Nothobranchius furzeri: one gene and its partners. The protein of the gene in region 1 binds, or shares a complex with, the protein of each later gene. Links are inferred from orthologs where the notes say so. Each region holds a gene or a part of one and is shown on either strand. Other genes may lie near its edges.

Evidence for each region. The genes of interacting proteins can lie anywhere in the genome.
Region 2: the proteins of rbl1 (region 1) and ppp2r2aa are in contact, whole or in part, in a cryo-EM structure (PDB 9C6B), measured with the Homo sapiens proteins. The link is inferred for Nothobranchius furzeri from reciprocal best matches to the Homo sapiens genes RBL1 and PPP2R2A. Residues at the interface, in NP_002886.2 of Homo sapiens: Ser615, Pro616, Leu617, Met618, His619, Pro620, Arg621, Val622, Val625, Arg626, Ser629, Leu632; in NP_002708.1 of Homo sapiens: Lys88, Tyr178, His179, Asp197, Leu198, Met222, Glu223, Glu224, Leu225, Thr226, Glu227, Val228, Ser247, Arg278, Ser279, Phe280, Phe281, Ser282, Glu283, Ile284, Ser287, Tyr337, Phe343.
Region 3: rbl1 (region 1) and mybl1 share a complex: the UniProt entries of both Homo sapiens proteins name them as parts of the DREAM complex. The link is inferred for Nothobranchius furzeri from reciprocal best matches to the Homo sapiens genes RBL1 and MYBL1.

What each region holds. Positions count from the first base shown.
Region 1 is NC_091743.1:73,535,670-73,539,846, forward strand, and holds the start of rbl1 (retinoblastoma-like protein 1), read right to left. Parts: upstream 2,801-4,177; 5' UTR 2,678-2,800; coding exon 2,516-2,677; intron 278-2,515; coding exon 144-277; intron 1-143. UniProt on the Homo sapiens protein: Key regulator of entry into cell division. Directly involved in heterochromatin formation by maintaining overall chromatin structure and, in particular, that of constitutive heterochromatin by stabilizing histone methylation.
Region 2 is NC_091757.1:37,259,148-37,262,647, forward strand, and holds part of ppp2r2aa (serine/threonine-protein phosphatase 2A 55 kDa regulatory subunit B alpha isoform), read right to left. Parts: intron 1,365-3,500; coding exon 1,200-1,364; intron 980-1,199; coding exon 810-979; intron 723-809; coding exon 631-722; intron 1-630. UniProt on the Homo sapiens protein: Substrate-recognition subunit of protein phosphatase 2A (PP2A) that plays a key role in cell cycle by controlling mitosis entry and exit. Involved in chromosome clustering during late mitosis by mediating dephosphorylation of MKI67.
Region 3 is NC_091747.1:51,681,174-51,684,568, forward strand, and holds part of mybl1 (myb-related protein A), read right to left. Parts: intron 3,381-3,395; coding exon 3,255-3,380; 3' UTR 1-3,254. UniProt on the Homo sapiens protein: Transcription factor that specifically recognizes the sequence 5'-YAAC[GT]G-3'.

The sequences.
Region 1 (4,177 bases):
AGGCGACACGTTAGCTTGGACCGGATAAGAGCATCCCTATTTAAAACTGCATTTGTTTTCTAGAAACCCCTAAGAACAAACCAGAACACAGAGATACCAGAATAAGGATCGTAGAGACAAAACATGTGTTTATAGCGCTGAACCTGAGTTTGGAGCAGCGAAGGATCCTGGTGAGCGAGACACAGTTTCCCTCCATCAGCCCTTTTCCCACAGTGGGAATGGACCCCTTCCTGCAGGCAGCGTACAGCGAGCAGGCCAGCCAGTGGACCACATCCCCCTGCAGACAAACAGCAAATCACTTTAATTGTCTTCACTCAGCATAAACAGCAAACTGGGAAACTAATACTCCACTATTTCCAGTACACAGAGCGACTCAGCAGATACAAGAATAGCTGCAGAAACAGCAAACAGAACTACACGGAACATGACTGAAAACCTATGTGCACATTTTAATTACTATGTTTGATTTTTGCACGCAAAATTCTGCCATCTTTAATTAATGAGACAGCTGAATGGTCCAATTATTTATAATTCAGAAGAGTTTAACGACTAGCATTTTATCATCTATTGGAGATATGTTTTTATAATACAGACAGACTATTAGTATTTTTGAAGGTCAATTTCTCAAACAAATATTTTTCATTAATAAATCAGAGAAGCAACCATTTCTGAATGACAGATAAACTCAAAGATAAACGGAGCATCTGTTTGGTTAGAGGCCTTATGTTTAAAAGCATAACTGAATCATTTGAGGTTAATTCAGTTTCCCCCTCTCCCCAGGTCAAGAGTCTGGGTGTCATCCTAGACAGCACACTATCCTTCCAATCTCATATCAATAGCATCACACGGTCAGCTTATTTCCATCTTCGTAACATTAATCGTCTTCGCCCCTCCCTTGATGTCCACTCTACTTCTATTCTTGTCCATAGTCTGGTTACATCGCGTATCGATTATTGCAACTCTCTTCTCTCAGGCCTCCCTCAGAAAATCCTCCGTAAGCTCCAGTTGGTCCAGAACGCAGCAGCACGCATCGTCACTAAAACTCCCATCTCTCATCACATCACCCCCATCCTCAAACAACTCCATTGGCTACCAGTGCACACCAGGATTAACTACAAGATTCTCCTTCTCACCTTCAAGGCCATCCAAAACCTCGCCCCTCACTACCTCACAGATCTCGTTCACATCGTCACCTCGTCCCGTTCCCTCAGGTCCTCCTCCTCCATTCATCTCTCTGTGCCCTCCTTCCGTATCAGCACCATGGGGAGTAGAGCCTTCAGCGGCACCACTCCCAAACTCTGGAACTCCCTTCCCCCTCTCATCAAGAACATTAACTCATTCACAGAATTCAAAAAACAACTCAAAACCCACCTCTTCATTACCACATATCAACTTTGAATTTTAGAGAGCCTTGTTTGTTGATGTTTACGTATGTTTACTTATTGAATGATTTGTGTTTTTATTCTGTACAGTGTCCTTGAGTGACCAGAAAGGCGCTTTTAAATAAAATGCATTATTATTAATAGGTAACGATGTAAACAAAGCCAACTAGCATCATTAGCTGTAGGAGGTTAAATTGTCAGGTACAAACTAATCTTTCATAATCTGTACCTAGATTAGGATTAGAATCGTTTTGAATAAAATAACCTTGTAACACCTCTCTGTGTGAACGTTTCTTTCCGTGAATCACCTTTGACCCCTGAGGATATAATCAGTGTTTACACCCATCCCTCAGACAGAAGTCTTCTAACAAACACTGCACAACTTTTGTTGATGTCCCGTCATTTTAGACGATGCTTCAAACTGACTGCACTACAGTTGTCTATGTTCCTGTCACACGGATTCAAAGGCAAAAACAAACAAACAAACAATTCTGATACTAATCAGGGTGAACAACAAAAATCAGGATTATATAGTGATTTCTGATACGATGTTAAAAGGAAACTGCTTTTAATTAAGATGTCAATAGTATGTATGAACAATAAAACTGATATTAATTGAAAAAGAACATCTGCTGCTTTGTTATCAGACTAAAGAAATCTTAAACATTGTTATTATTGGTCAGACCTTAAATAAAGCCGATCCATTTAAATAAAACGGATTTATTATTCACTCAGATGTCACTACCATGTTCTACCCATGGTTTTACCACAAATAAAAGACAGTCATAGTTGTTTTACGGTAAAATATATTTTACCTGGAAAAAATATTTCAATTTGATTATTTTTTATTATTCTTATGTAATTTCAGGAGGATTTTAATATTTGTTAATAATCAGTCAGTCATAAACTAAAAATAATTGTTTTGTTTTGTCCGGTTTTGTCTGACGTTTGCAAATGCCGTCGATCGACTGCTCGACAATATGTTTCTGTTCCTGGATGGAAGATTAAAAACAGGTCAGTTGTTGAATCCCTTTAATCTCAGTGTGTGTCAGCACTGAAATCCAGTTCTATGTAGGATGAAAGTTGTGGCTGATTAATTCGACAGTAACTTGTTATTAAAGAACATTATTCACCTCCAGAGTGTATGTGTTCCATATGGCTGTGAAGTTGTCCATAGCTTCAGTAGCGGTCTGTTCGTCCATGTTCAGCTCCTGACACAATGTCTCCAAACTCCTTCGGACTGAACTTTCCTCCATCCTGCCCGACTCGGAGTCCGACGACTCGTCACCCCGCATTCGTTCCAATGTACAGCTACAGCATCAAGTTTTAAACAACCCCCAGAGCCAGACGTTAACCAGCAAAACGCTGCCCTCTCCCAAACACCAACAAACAGGCTCCACGAGCATCCCACTTCCGCCTACAGTTCCCACAATGCAGTGCGTTGGCGCGAAAACCCTGCTGCTCTGACCAATCAAAGTCAAGACATGCGAAGCCCTCTCGCCCTCTTGCCCTACCCCTCTCGGTCTCCTTCAGGAGGTCGCTCCTAATTAAAACCACCTTTTTATGGAGTTACAGCTGTCTGAAATAATTAACTTTAAAAAGTAAAATTACAAAATATGCCGAGAAGTCGAGAAAAGAAGTATGCAATAACAATTTGGTAGCAATTCGTTAACTAACGTGCAGAGGGCAGTGTTCTGTTATTATAGAATTCCTGCTCATCTAATCAAAGGTTTAAAAAAGTGATTTTTTTTTTACAAAATACAATCCACAAAATCGGATTGAGTCTTAGAATAAAACGAATGTTACAAGGTGACCTTTTAAGTGTTCTTATTCCTATTGTTGTCTACAAAGGGAATGAGTTAACATATTATGTAGTATACCCTATAAAATACAATTTTTAGAACGATGCAGACTGCAGAGCCTGCCAAGAATTATTGTCTTTAATACTCTAAAATGTTAATGAAATAGCTGTTTAATAAAAAAAAAACAGCAATGCTCAAAACACTGTTAAAAAAACTTTGTTAAAAACACCAACAACATATCTATTTTTCTCTCCATGTCCAATTTGCAGGTTGGGGGCTATTTGTAGCTCTTGAAGTGCTTTTGTTTGGCCCCCACTTGCATTTCTAGAATCATGTGGCTCCAGATCCACCGGTTGCAAAACCTCTAAAAACCCATAAATATAACACAAGCTATCTTAATTTAAAGTAAAATAATTATTTATATAAGACATGTTTGGTTGTTTTATAGTAAATGGAACATTGTCCATTTAAAAGAATGAATGAACACAAACTCAAAACATTTTTGCTCAGATTCAGTTTATTGATGAATTAAGAGACAATAAAGTCAAACCCATAACCACATCTTTTTAAAAATATAGTGTAATAACAGCATAAAGGATGTTCACAGCAACACCACCAAATTTGTGATAGTCTTCATTATAAAAACAAACCTCTAACCGATGGTCTAAAGTAGCATTCTGCTAAACCCAACATACGTAGAAAGTTACCAGACTTGATTATTACAAGACTAAACACACCCTTAAAACCAGCTTTAAACTATTTTATTTCTAACTTCAAATGATTTATTGTTTAAATATTACAGTTAGTTTAAAGAGAAAGTCACCCCCAAATCAACTTTTTTTCTGATAAACTATATAAATGTGTGTCTAATCATGCTGTAGACACGTGTAGTCAGTAATTTTGCACTTTAGTGCATTTTAGTAAAAATTTAAATTTTCTGCCTAAAACTGTCAGTGTTGTGCCGTTGTCAGGTAAAAACTGTGCAGTGCAGTT
Region 2 (3,500 bases), on another chromosome or scaffold:
TTGGCTATGCCAATAGAGTGAAGCATTTGTTTAAGTCTGTAAGACTTTATGCTGTGATGTGACGAGAAGGGTCGATGCCAACTTGCTAACAGTCCTGTTGTTTACAGGCTGGGTTTTTTTTTTTCCTTGGGTTTGATCCCGACTCCTATGATCACTCACTTGGAACGAGAACTGGATTTCTTCCTGACGAGGGAGATGGCGAGCCTTAACCACTGAACGAACCAGGACATCTCAAGTAACTGAAGAGCAGACTGCTCTCTTCTGTGAACAATCTCAACGGTGCGGTAGGAAAAAATCGCACCACCGGACTCTGACTTTCACCCCAAGCGTGGGGATTTGACTTGACGCCGGCTGACTTGTGACTCATATGATCAAATCTCATACCGAGCATTTTACTGTTGTCGATTGTTTTCATCTGTTTTTGTGTGTTATCTTTATGCGTTATATTTCCCATTATTATTAAAATTTAGTATATAAACCGTTTCATGCTATACCCGTGACTCCAGTCATTCTTAAACAACCTCCAATTCTCCCCGAACCTAATTATTGGCCCATTTGTTTATTTTTTCTTTTAATTATCTTATTGTATCCTGTAATCCGGTTACACAAATAAAAATAGCAAGGGCTCACCTGTCATTTCCATTCCAACAGCATTCAAACTTGTCAAAGATGCAGTCGTTCTCATAAAGTGAACACAACTTACTCCTGAGATATTCATGCACCTGTTCAAACACAACAATCAGAAAGTAACATTTCGTTTAATCACGTTAAGAAAACACCAAAGTGTGCCCACGTCATCAGTTACAGACCTGATATGTCTCTACTGGTCGCGTTTCCATGTTGAGATCCCAAACTTTGACCGACAAGTAGTCACGTGTCATCATGTAGCGCCCGCTGTGGCTGAACTTCACATCAGAGATGGATGAGATGATCTCAGAAAAGAACGAACGGTTGTTTGGATCTTCAGGCTCCTCAAACACTTAAAAGGCAAACACATTCATGTTGATAGATTATACAGATGTAAACTGAATAACAAGGGCAGGAAACAGTTTCTAAATAACCGTGCAACAGTTTAAAAATTTCAGTGCTGAAAAGATGAATGACTTAATCAGAGTAAGAAAAAGAAATTAAATAAAACACTTTAAAATGTGCAAAAAGCTAAATTTGGCAGCAGACCTGCAGCACAAACACAGACTTACATTTTGTGTGTCTGTCACACAGAGCTGATGCCCTCATGTCACACAAACGGATGGTTCCCTTGCTGCTGCTGTAAACAAAGGTGTTGCACTGGTTAGGGTGGAACTCCGCCGCTGTGATCACTTCTGTCAGCTCCTCCATGTTGGCAGGTTTAATGTCAACAATATCTGAAGAACTCAGGTTAAGGTGAAAGCCAAAACAGATATTTCTACAACTGAAAAGAAAATTCTTATACAAACTTAGATGTACAAATGAACACTGCGGTTTTTAATGTTGCTCCTGTGGAATGTGCACTGTTTTGAGATTGCATCTTACTATGAATGCTTCAGAAAATCCTGCAGAGTTCGTACTTATGCTTCCTCACTTGCAGACATTCCTGCATGGATCCTTTCTCCTCCTGCAGCTAAATCAGGAAATTGTGTTTGAAAAATCTTTTGATGCCGATTCCAGATCAAAGGTAGGAAAACGATTAGAAAGAGCAAAAAATTGTTAAAAACTTTGAGGATTCAAAAAAAGAAAAAACTCAAATCTTAGCTTGGAGACATCTAGTGGTGATATAAAAATATGACAGGCGTGGTTGTTGGTGCCAGACGGGCCGGTCTGAGTATTTCACAGTCTGCTCAGTTACTGGGATCTTCACGCACAACCATTTCTAGGGATTACAAAGAATGGCGTGAAAAGGGAAAAACATCCAGTATGCAGCAGTCCTGTGGGCGAAAATGCCTTGTTGATGCTAGAGGTCAGAGGAGAATGGGCCGACTGATTCAAGCTGATAGAAGGGCAACTTTGCCTGAAATAAGCACTCGTTACAACCGAGGAATGCAGCAAAGAATTTGTGAAGCACCAACATGCACAACCTTGAGGCGGAGGGGCTACAACAGCAGAAGACCCCACCGGGTACCACTCATCTCCACTACAAATAGTAATGAAGAGGCTACAATTGGCACGAGCTCACCAAAATTGGACAGTTGAAGACTAGAAAAATGTTGCCTGGTCTGATGAGTCTCGATTTCTGTTGAGACATTCAAATGGTAGAGTCAGAATTTGGCATAAAGAGAATGAGAGCATGGATCCATCATGCCTTGTTACCACTGTGCAGGCTGGTGGTGGTGGTGTGATGGTGTAGGGGGTGTTTTCTTGGCACACTTTAGGCCCCTTAGTGCCAAATGGGCTTGGTTTAAATCCCACAGGCTACCTGAGCATTGTTTCTGACCATGTACCCATCCTCTGATGGCTACTTCCATCAGGATAATGCACCATGTCATAAAGTTCCAGTCATTTCTAATTGGTTTCTTGAACATGACAATGAGTTCACTGTACTACAATGGCCCCCACAGTCACCAGATCTCAACCCGATAGAGCATCTTTGGGATGTGGTGGAACGGGAGTTTCGTGCCCTGGAAGTGCATCCCACAAATCTTCATCAACAGCAAGATGCTATCCTATCAATATGGGCCAACATTTCTAAAGAATGCTTTCAGCACCTTGTTGAATCAATGCCATGTAGAATTAAAGGGACTTTACGGTGTTTTGAATTTTTATGTTCGCGAATGCTCCCTCAGGTCAAAAGCGTAACAGCAGCTTCAATAGTAGGCTCGTGCACGAGGCGCGCATGCTGTACGTGCACACTCCTTAACGAAAATAACAGCTGAGACAGTCCCGAGTGTGTGTGTGTGTGTGTGTGTGGCCCAAAGGACAGAGGACAGGACAACATGCAGCTAATTAATTAAATGATTTGGTTCTGTACCTTTCTCTTCAGCACAGCCAACAAAGGTTTATGATGGGTCAGTCTTCCTGCATGCTCAGATAATTCCCTTCCCTTGCTTGAAAAATTAATCCAAAATGAAAGTTGAACCCACATCTTTTTTATCTGTGAATTCAATGCCGTTCGGTGAGTCTCAAATAAAAATTTGAGCATCTTACTGTAAAAAAATATACCATCAATGTAAAAAATAAACTCTTAACTAAACCATATTCACATTGAGAATCAAGCCCGGGTCTTCTGCACGAGAGTCCAACATCTTACTAGGTGAGCTAAAGCACCAGTGACGTCATTTGTATCTGTAACATTTATATCGTTGATAACAGCTGAAACAATGGTCAAAGAACGGTTCGGAGCGAAAATGGCTATTTTGTTGCTAATTTGCAGGAAATATCTAGAAGAAAGTAGCTAAGGGTCCTCAGAAATGTAGCTAGGTTTATCACTAGGCGTTAGGAACAGCGACAAAGTCGCTGAGTTGGCACTACCTCTCTCTCTGCTGCTAAAGCTACTGATGGCAAATGCTACAGGCGATGCCTGAGCG
Region 3 (3,395 bases), on another chromosome or scaffold:
GCAGATATTTCTTAAATGTGCTTTTTAACCCTCCCACTGTCTTTATGGGTGATCCCGTGAGGAAAGCTGACCATCGAGCAGGGTTGGTGATTTATCCCTTGAGGTCAATGTGGCAGGGGTGAGGTGGTGCTCACTCCTCACCCCTGCCACATGGACCCAAGGGATAAACCATCAACCCCGCTCAATGGTCAGCTTTCCTCACAGGGTCACACCCATTAGGACGGTGGGAGGGTTAAACAAATTTTGACTTGACTAAATAGCGGTTTGTTACATCTTACATCCCTCATGAACTGACAATATAAAACTTCGTAAAAGAATAACTTAAGAACCGATTTAGACTTGTTCTAAATTGAAAATGTGTCGACTTTCTTTCAAGTTTGCATAGCTGTCTGGTCGTCAACAGCCTAGTGAGATACTGGACAAGGAGAACTTAACACACCTTTTCACAGCCAAACGGGAGAAAATCAAGCAGCAGTAACTAACATAGACAGAAACACATCTAAAACACATAAACAAGAGCTACATCCTTCAAATGAACTTAAAATTTTTATTCAAATGAATAAAAAGTGCAATTTGTCCATGATTAGAGGTCGGAGATGGTGTCCTGCTACCTAACAGCGACATTTAATTTAAAGGTGAGGAAAAAGCCTCATCTATGTTACAACATCACTCACATATCTACAACATTATTTTCTACATCTCGTACGATCAAGAGAAGTTCAAATTAAAATGAATGGCAGTGCAGGAAAATGAACTGTAGCCCAATCCTGATTTTAAAAGTGAAAAGATTGATAAAATTCTTCAATAATTCTTCTTAAAGGTTTTCTTTTTCAAAGAAATAAATAAATAGTAAATAAATAGAACCTACAGCCTTCACATGAAAACTATAATCCTTCTCAGCCAAATGCTTGATTTTTGTGGTATGAAGTCAGAATGAATCACCGGGACTGAAAGTTGAAAAATAAAAGGTAGCAATGCTTAGAGCAAGAGAGTTTTTAGGCTGTTTTGTCAGCAGTTAGACCTTATGTTGTCTGATTTATATTAATATCTAAGCTTTAAAAACTGAAAAATAAATAAAACAATTAGAAATAAACAATAAAGTACCCTTCCATGTTTGAGGTTCTTCCATTGCAATGAAATACATTCAGCTGATTTTTTTATGGCCTTGGAAAGGAAACGTTGTGTTGTTATTCAGAAGTGCTATCCAGTCTGCTCATAAAAAATAATAATAATAATCACGCTCCTTCCTCAGCAGCAAAATTATCTCAGTAGTGCAATACTGACAGAAAACATTCCCACATACTGTTACAACAACCACGCTGCTGTTTTTTTAATGAAAAACAATGATTGGTGTTGTATTTAAAAGTGTGATTTAGTGTGATTTTAAAAACGGCAGCATGAGTGTTGTTTTTATCTCATAACAGCAACGGGGCGAGACACACCAGTATCGTTATGTCGGCTTTTAAATAATATGTTAAAATACAGTGGGGCAAAAAAAGTATTTAGTCAGGCACCGATTGTGCAAGTTCTCCCACTTAAAATGATGACAGAGGTCAGTAATTTACATCATAGGTACACTTCAACTGTGAGAGAATGTGAAAAAAAATCCATGAATTCACATGGCAGGATTTTTAAAGAATTTATTTGTAAATCAGGGTGGAAAATAAGTATTTGGTCACTTCAAACAAGGAAAATCTCTGGCTCTCACAGACCTGTAACGTCTTCTTTAAGAAGCTTTTCTGTCCTCCACTAGTTACCTGTATTAATGGCACCTGTTTGAACACGTTATCTGTATAAAAGACACCCGTCCACAGCCTCAAACAGTCAGACTCCAAACTCCACTATGGCCAAGACCAAAGAGCTTTCGAAGGACACCAGGAAAAGAATTGTAGACCTGCACCAGACTGGGAAGAGTGAATCTACAATAGGCAAGCAGCTTGGTGTGAAAAAAATCAACTGTGGGAGCAATTATCAGAAAATGGAAGACATACAAGACCACTGATAATCTTCCTCGATCTGGGGCTCCACGCAAGATCTCATCCCGTGGGGTCAAAATGATCATGAGAACGGTGAGCAAGAATCCCAGAACCACACGGGGGGACCTGGTGAATGACCTGCAGAGAGCTGGGACCACAGTAACAAAGGTCACCATCAGTAACACACTACAACGGCAGGGAATCCAATCCTGCAGTGCCAGACGTGTTCTGCTGCTGAAGCCAGTGCATGTCCAGGCCCGTCTGAAGTTTGCCAGAGAGTACATGGATGATACAGCAGAGGATTGGGAGAATGTCATGTGGTCAGATGAAACCAAAGTAGAACTTTTTGGTATAAACTCAACTCGTCATGTTTGGAGGAAGAAGAATACTGAGTTGCATCCCAAGAACACCATACCTACTGTGAAGCATGGGGGTGGGAATATCATGCTTTGGGCCTGTTTTTCTGCTAAGAGGACAGGACGACTGATCCGTGTTAAGGACAGAATGAATGGGGCCATGTATCGTGAGATTCTGAGCCAAAACCTCCTTCCATCAGTGAGAGCTTTGAAGTTGAAACGTGGCTGGGTCTTCCAACACGACAATGATCCCAAACACACCGCCCGGGCAACAAAGGAGTGGCTCCGTAAGAAGCATTTGAAAGTCCTGGAGTGGCCTAGCCAGTCTCCAGAACTCAACCCCATAGAAAATCTGTGGAGGGAGTTGAAAGTCTGTGTTGCTCGGCGACAGCCCCAAAACATCACTGCTCTCGAGAAGATCTGCATGGAGGAATGGGCCAAAATACCAGCTACTGTGTGTGCAAACCTGGTAAAGACCTATAGTAATCGTTTGACCTCTGTTATTGCCAACAAAGGTTAAGTTACAAAGTATTGAGTTGAATTTTTGTTATTGACCAAATACTTATTTTCCACCCTGATTTACAAATAAATTCTTTAAAAATCCTGCCATGTGAATTCATGGATTTTTTTTTCACATTCTGTCTCTCACAGTTGAAGTGTACCTATGATGAAAATTACTGACCTCTGTCATCATTTTAAGTGGGAGACCTTGCACAATCGGTGGCTGACTAAATACTTTTTTCCCCCACTGTATAAGTCTGAAGCTACTGATCAGTATGAACTACGTGACCTAAGCATGCGTTAACAGTACCAGCAGCCGTGCCTGTATGTGGACGGTGTTTCTGCTCCGTGGATTGTCTCCCACGGGGACTTGGTGGACGTTTGAGTCGGATGTAATGCTGCTAGCTGAAGGGGATGGCCTTTAAAGCACCAGAGCCCTTGAGGTAGAGCCAGACGATGAAAAGGGGTTCAGGTACTGACGAGCCTGTTCTGTCATGATGAGCTGGTCCTCAGTCTTCCCATAAACCACTGCTTCCCACTCACTTACCTGCAGAGGAAGAGG